Coturnix japonica: one gene and its partner. The protein of the gene in region 1 purifies or fractionates together with the protein of each later gene. This does not show direct contact. Links are inferred from orthologs where the notes say so. Each region holds a gene or a part of one and is shown on either strand. Other genes may lie near its edges.

Region 1 (3,749 bases):
ATGATTAATAGCCATTGCAAATATGAACTGTGACTGTATTAGTGTTTCATCATACCAGTGCTACCCTAGAGCCTTTTAGACATGGAATGCTTTAAATTATTTTCCTCATAGCTGAGTGCAGAGCTGGATTTGCATAAGCTGAATCTTTCTAATCCATAGATGCTAGACTGTTCTTAAAATGAGAGCTAAAGTCCCATGTTATCCGCAGTCACTATGTGCGTGACCATGGTCACTGTTTTAGGGCAGTGTCAAATAGAATTCTTTCACTGAGTTCATTCTGCCATGGAAACCAAACTTACCAAAACTCCAGAAACCTTTCCAGTTGAAAACAGGATTGTGTGATGTTCCCTTTACTGTACTTGGCCTCTTTCTTTGGAGTTGTACAAGGAGAGTATGTGATGATAAGCAGTTGAGTCCCTTCTCTGTAGGTTAGATAAATGTCTCAATGGTCAGTCTTCTAATATCTATATTTTTGTGTGTGAAGTAGTTCCTTGTTGATCAAATTTGCTACTAGAATGCAAGCAGTGGCTCAGAAGGAGGTGATTAGAATCAGCGTCTCAGAAAATACTCTTCTAGTGAGTTGCAGTTGGTAGGGATGTGAAATACTGTTTAAATGTCACACTTTACACATTTAGGCTTTTAAAGTACAACATGGAGTTTAATCTGGTTAACTACATTTGCTTGGAATGTCAGGAGGTTTTTGACAGAGGGAAAACAACACAAAATACACTAAATAATGCATTTTGCTTAATGTTTGATACAGTTTTGTTTTCTTCTGAATATAAGACAGACTGAAGGGTTCCTGTGAGTATGTTTATTGTTTCACTTCTTTCCATTAAAGACTGAATTGATCTTTTCTTGGCCTCGCAGCCAGTACAGAGTATTATTAGTATTTAGGTCTCCTTACTTAATAACTTAAAGTCTGGAGAGCTACTGTTCAATATATCTAGGAGACCCTTATGTTCTCAGGTTCATCTATCTTGAGGAAGTGCTGTGGCTCTTTCAGCACACAATTCCTGAAGACGCATCAGATTCAGTATGTGTAGTGAAGTGGGTGCCCCACACTAAGGTCACAGGCACCCAGCTATTGGGGTTCACTGCCTGAGAGGCACATCATGCTGAAAGGATCAGGGTTGGAAACATGAGCTCCGTGTGTGTTTGCAGGCACACGTTAGCTGTGATGGCTTTGGCTGGAGTGGACAGAAGGTATTATAACATCACTAGAACCAAGGGGTGGTGCTCAGTTCTGGCTCCGGGTGGAACTTTGGGCATTTTGATGTACAGACATGCCCTGTGGGCAGTGCTTTCACTGGAAACCTCTCTTCAAGCATTGCCATTATTACACCTAATTATCCAAAAGAAGGAAAACAACAGGCGAAATTTAAAAGATACTTTCAGAAACCAGCATTCAGATTCACAAAGATGGCTGTCCATAACTACACTTCGGTATGTGAGATGTTTTTGACTGCTTTGGATCTGAAGGTGATCTTATATTTCAAAAGCGTAGTATAATTACTTGGCCTATTAAGTCTCAATTTTCCTCTGTTGAAAACTGTTTGCTTTATTTAGCATTTCTCTGTATTTAGCTTAAGATATCTGAGAAATGCAAAGTAGATGTGTTGTGTTGAAACTTTTGAAGCAGCACATTCAGTTCCTTGTTTTATATGTATTTAGATATCCAGCAGAAGGAACTAGAAAGTGACCTTTATAAGGAGTCTCTGAGGGAACTGTGGCTGTTTAGCTTGAAGAAGAGGCTGAGGGGAGACTCTTTACAGCTGCCTGAGCAGGCTGCAGCAAGGAGGAGGGTGTCAATCTCTTTTTGCAGGGACAAGTGCTAGGATGCAAGGAAACTTATTTGGGTTGTATCCAGTTTATACTGGATATTGGGAAGAAATACTTGGTCAAACATTGGAACAGGCTGCCCAGAGAGATGGTGGAGGCCTCCTTCCTTAGAGGTATTCATGAGACCTGTTGATGTGGCTTATGGACTTATATTGAAGGCCTTTCCCGGTCTAAATTATCCTGTGCTTCAAAATGTTATTTTACCGACATCTCCAGGGAGGTAGAGGTTCAGCAGTACGAGTTTCTTGTGCTACCCTGCAGATTTGGCAGTGTTTCAATTACAAATGATAAGTACTTATCTGGCTTTTTATTAGATAAAAAACAGTTAGAAAAGCCTATAGAGATTCTTTTATTTTTTTTAAGTACGGCATAAGTAAGTCAGTGAATATTAATTTTTAAAATGGAAAATGTGCTTGTGGAATTATTGGGCTTTGGGGAAGTGGAAGTTATGTATATTACAGTAGGCTCTTGCCCTCACCAAAGTATAGTGTCTTGCTTAAGAAGGTTGTACAAGGCCTACTGTGTGGGAAGCTATCCTCAAAGCAGCCTGTAAAATGTGTACAACTGTGCATGTGCAAGTGAGTTTTGAAATCAGATAGGCAACAACGGTATGAGTCTTTACAAACATGCGTGTAACTGAACTGCTTACATAAAAAACAATAATTGATATGAGAAAATATGTAGTGGTTCTGCAGTAGCTTTTTTTTAGTTTTCATTAATGCCATTTCTGTGCTTTTTATCCTCCATCATGATGGATATAGAGTTTCTTCTACGTCAGCTGTTAGAGACAACTCTAATCTTAGTGCTGTGCCTTAGTATTTCAGATATTACCTGATTAAAACATAGTGTTTGATGTAATAAAATACTGTTAATATAATCAGCGTTTATATACTGAAATAGTTAAAGTGTTACATGAGCTATAAAGGTGTGCATGCTTCTTTAGCAGCTTACCCAGCTTGAAAATGTAAGACTTATCTTGCTGGGAATTGGTCATCTTTTGACAGTGTATTTAGCATGAGTAACAATTCTGGCTGCTCTGGGTGAAAACGTATGCCCACATTTAGAGAAGCCTAATGAGAAATAATCCTTATAACGTTCATACGTTTTTACTCAGGTCAGAAAAAACATTGCTGCAAAGAGCTTGTGACCTATGTGTCGACTGCAGTGGAGAAATAAAATGAAAGAAAAATGTGATGTAGAAACTGGAAAGGCTGTAACTCTTATCTTCAGATCAGTATATAGCTATTCTGTTCCCTTGTACAGTAATGGAATTGATGGTGTTGATGGTGCTGCTCTGCTTTTTTATCATCTTCCAACTCTGCCATTGGGCGCCAGGGAGACATTTTATTCTGTACTTGGTCAGGTAGGCATTTGAAGTAATGATTTTCTTCCCTTTTGCTCTTAGAGATCTCATGATTATAAGGAAGGAATAGAGGTGTTACTTTTAAATAACATACACCTACCTCAGTAGTTACTTTAAGAACTTGAGGACACTTCCCCTTCCGAAGCCACTGCATTGAAACTAGTACTTGATCAGCCCATATTAATGGCTAGGCACAGCAAGTGCTGAGTAGTACAAGCAGGTCTGAGGCTTCAGTTCTAATGTACTTGTTCTATGGAGAATCTGCATACATCAATTTCTGGAAAAAGCAACTTTCATTGTGACAGTTTCTGGTTGATGTCTTGCTTCTTATGTTCTAACCTTTAGACATGTAGTGTATCATTAAATTTGAATTCAAGACCTATATATTAGACACCTCCAAAATGTTAAAGATTTTGTTTCTATTTGATACCTTGCCTTCATATCTAACTTTCTTAAAAGAACAGGATTTTTTGTTTGTTTGTTTTGAAAATACAGTGAAATATGGTGTTCTTGGTGCTGCATGTAGCTCTTACTGTCCTAATCA
Region 2 (3,749 bases), on another chromosome or scaffold:
GTGCCTGATCTGACCGCTCCATTACACCGAACCAGAACATCCATTCAGTCTGTGCCTGCAAATCCCCAGCTCAGCACCACCAGCTCTGCAAACAGAACCACTGCCAGCAGCCACAGACACCGACTGCCAGCCCCGAAGTCCCACAGCAACAAACGCAGTCACACTCCCCGTGCTCACACGCAGCTCCATCCCTGCTCTGTACCATCCTCCAGCTGTTCTCCCTTGAAGTCATTTATTGGCACCTGAGAATGAGCGGTTTGGCTGTAACACCTCTTGCCGATCCGCTCGTTGCTGGGTTAAACATCAACCCCGCCTCGCTGCCCATCATCACCCGCACCTCGCTGCCACCGCACGGACCGCACGGACAAAACGGCTCCGTGGTGGGGAAGGAGATGACGGGCAGCACAAATGACAGATAGCGCTCAGAGTGAAACATGCACGGACTTTATTGAGTCTCCAGCCGCTTCGTGATACAGTTCCCTTCTGGGAGGGATGGGATGGGGTGAAGGTTCGGCAGGTGCACGCAGCGCCTGTGCCAGCCAACGGGATGGGAAACGAGCACTTCCCAACCGGGAGCCCTGCGGTACCGGAGCTCAGCGCAGAGCAGATCTTCACCACCTTTGTCATTATACACCAATACACACATCACCAGCAGCGGTAACAGCAGGCGAAAAACACCGCTGAGCGCTGCTCCCTCCGGCATCCAAACACAAAACCCTTCCCAATGCCATATCGGATTTTATTTCACCGTCCCCAAACACCGTCAGTAATCACACATTCAACACGCTATTGCGATTTTCCAACGCGTTATTGTGGCTCTTTTTTCCCACCGGCAGCACCCGGCTCATTCCATCCCGTTCCCTCCGGCTCCGCAGCTCCGCTCATCTCCGCTTTGTTCCACCTCCTCCTTCCCCCACCTCTCTCTGTCTCTCTCTCGCCGTCCATCTCCGCATTCCCGGCCATGCACGACTTTCCCTCTCTGCCTCAATCCGCCTCGTTCCATCATCGGCTGCGGGATCGCGGACGGAATCACGTCCAGCATCGCGTCCACCCCGCGGTACAAAGCATGCCGATATGCCGATATGCCGATATGCCGTTACCTTCTGGATAGTTTGCTGGGTCACCTCCCCTTTGCCTCTCGGCCGAGCAGAAGCAAAGGCAACCGACATGGTGGGCTTTATTTTTTTTTACGTGTCTTTAATGTACGGGTCCCGTGCTCTAATAATATTGTTATTATCTCCTGCTATTGCCGGCCCACGATTCTCCGCAGTGCTGGGGCAGGGGAGGTGCCGCACATGGTACGATCTGAGCCCGGCGCACGGCAACGGGCAGAATAACCCGGACCCGAACACAACCCCCCGCACACGGGGCCGGTCCCGGCGGGTCGGAGCGGGTGGAACCGAGGGATGATTATCGGGATATGAGCAGAACCGGCCGCCCCTTGGCCCGCAGCTCTCCCCGCTGCCCGCACATGGTCCGGCCCTGCCGCCCGGTTTCCTGTCGCAGCCGAGCGCCGTCTCCCTCCCTCCGCCGGCCGCCGCCAGCTGCGCCAACTGCGTAACAACCGCCGCCATCTACTCTTAGCGCAGCTTACGCTCGTTGCGCAACGCCCGCTCCTGGCGTAAGGAGCGGCGGATGGAGCTCGGCGGCTGCAGCGTACGGAGTTGGCGTAGGGTGCGCAATCGGCGTAGTGCGGAAGCGGGCGGGGGATGAGTGTGCTGTTTTGAGGGAGGCGGCGCGGCCGGCAGCCATGAGCTACGACCGGGCCATCACCGTGTTCTCTCCGGACGGGCACCTGTTCCAGGTGGAGTACGCACAGGAGGCGGTGAAGAAGGGATCGACTGCGGTGAGTGAAGGGGAGAACGGAGGCGAGGGGATCCCGAGGGGCTGGGGCGGGAGGGAGAGGACGTGAGGGGAAGGAAGGGCCTGAGCACGGAGCGGTGTGGGGAGAGGAGCTGCTGCTGGTCGGTGGGGCTGAGTGTATGGAGCGAGCACAGAGAGATCGGGATGGAGGGATGGATAGAGATGGATAGAGATGGATAGAGATGGAGGGATCCCCGTGTCCATGTGGCGGCTGCCCGGGCCCGAGCCTTGAGGCCAATGCAGCAGCTCTCGCTCCGGCTGTACAGGCTGGGGGAAGAGCTGCTGAGAGGAACCTGGGCGTCCTGGTGGATGATAGATTGACCATGAGCAGCAGTGCGCCCTTGTAGCCAAAAAAGCCAATGGCATAATGGGGTGCATTAAAAAGAGCGTGTCCAGCAGGTCAAAGGAGGTGATCCCCCCCCCTCTACTCTGCCCTGGTGAGGCCTCATCTGGAATATTGTGTCCAGTTCTGGGCTTCCCAGTACAAAGAAGACAGGGATCTCTTGGAAAGAGTCCAGCGGAGGGCCACTAAGATGGTGAAGGGTCTGGAGCATCTTCCCTATGAGGAGAGACTTAGGGAACAGGGTCTGTTTAGCCTTGAGAAAAGAAGGCTGAGAGGGGACTTGATCCAGGTTTATAAATACCTGAGGTGTGGGAGCCATAGTGGTGAGTCTGGTCTCTTTTCAGTAGTGCGTGGGGACAGGACTAGGGGTAATGGGATGAAAGTACAGCATAGGAAGTTCCGCACGAATGTGCGAAAGAACTTTCCAGTGAGGGTGACGGAGCACTGGAACAGGCTGCACAGGGAGGTGGTGGAGTCTCCTTCTCTGGAGATACTTAAGACCCGCCTGGACGCCGACCTGTGTGACATGGTGTAGGGAGCCTGCTTTGGCAGGGGGGTTGGACTCAGTGATCTCTAGAGCTCCCTTCCAACCCCTACAATTCTGTGACTCTGTGATTCTATTTGGGCCCATATCGCTGTGAGCCGCTGGGCTGAGCCGGCCCGGTACCGCCGGGTGTTGTGGTACCGATGAACCTGCACGGCACAGCAGCCCCGGCACTGCAGTATCACATACAGTAAGGAAACAACCCTGTGTTTGGTGTGGCAGCTTTAAAGTGGCTGCAGAGAAGTGCTGGTGTTGGAGAACATGGTTGGGAGGAGGGATGGGAATGTCTGCGAGGAGTCACACAGATTTCAGCTGGTGAAAACAGGTGATGAAACTGAACTCGGGATCTGAATGTATTTGTTACGTCAGTCCTCACCCGGGTTGTGGCAATAGGAAACAAAGTACTTCAGGTTGAGGTTGATGATGTTTGGGGTTTCTTTCCTTTCCTTTGAACGTGCTGCAGGTTGGGGTCAGAGGGAAGGACATCGTTGTGCTCGGCGTGGAGAAGAAATCTGTGGCAAAGCTTCAGGATGAGAGAACTGTGCGGAAGATCTGCGCCCTGGATGACAACGTCTGCATGGCTTTTGCAGGTACGGGATCCCTTCAGAGCTTGGGGGTTGGTACGGTGGTTAGTTTGCCTTTGGGTGAGGGGATGGATTCAGAGGGTGTGTGTAACTGAGCGAGGACTGTGGGGAAGGAGCATGTTTCCAGTTACTTCCACTTTTACAGATAGGTGTCGATATGTCCATAAGGGAGAAGCAGTGATTGAATGAGGATGAAGTATTGGTTGGAGTTCAGAAGGTCCACTGAGTTTAATGTGAAGACTGGGAAGGAACGTGATTGATGCAGATATAGAAATGTAGCATTTAAAAATAGATGTGAGCTCATATACTAGATATATACAGCAGATATCTCCTGTCTGTAAGCACTGCAGGCTTTGTATCAGAATTAATAATGCTTTAAGTGGAGATGTGATGTGAGCAGGCAGAAATGCTGATG

Evidence for each region. The genes of interacting proteins can lie anywhere in the genome.
Region 2: the proteins of UBE3A (region 1) and PSMA7 purify together in Homo sapiens (affinity purification with mass spectrometry, with the first as the bait; 3 studies listed by BioGRID). This does not show direct contact. The link is inferred for Coturnix japonica from reciprocal best matches to the Homo sapiens genes UBE3A and PSMA7.

What each region holds. Positions count from the first base shown.
Region 1 is NC_029516.1:118,887,354-118,891,102, forward strand, and holds the start of UBE3A (ubiquitin-protein ligase E3A), read left to right. Parts: upstream 1-1,240; 5' UTR 1,241-1,276; coding exon 1,277-1,446; intron 1,447-3,749. UniProt on the Homo sapiens protein: E3 ubiquitin-protein ligase which accepts ubiquitin from an E2 ubiquitin-conjugating enzyme in the form of a thioester and transfers it to its substrates.
Region 2 is NC_029535.1:6,913,798-6,917,546, reverse strand, and holds the start of PSMA7 (proteasome subunit alpha type-7), read left to right. Parts: upstream 1-1,593; 5' UTR 1,594-1,750; coding exon 1,751-1,846; intron 1,847-3,213; coding exon 3,214-3,340; intron 3,341-3,749. Other genes in the region: SS18L1 (calcium-responsive transactivator), read right to left, coding at 1,101-1,169.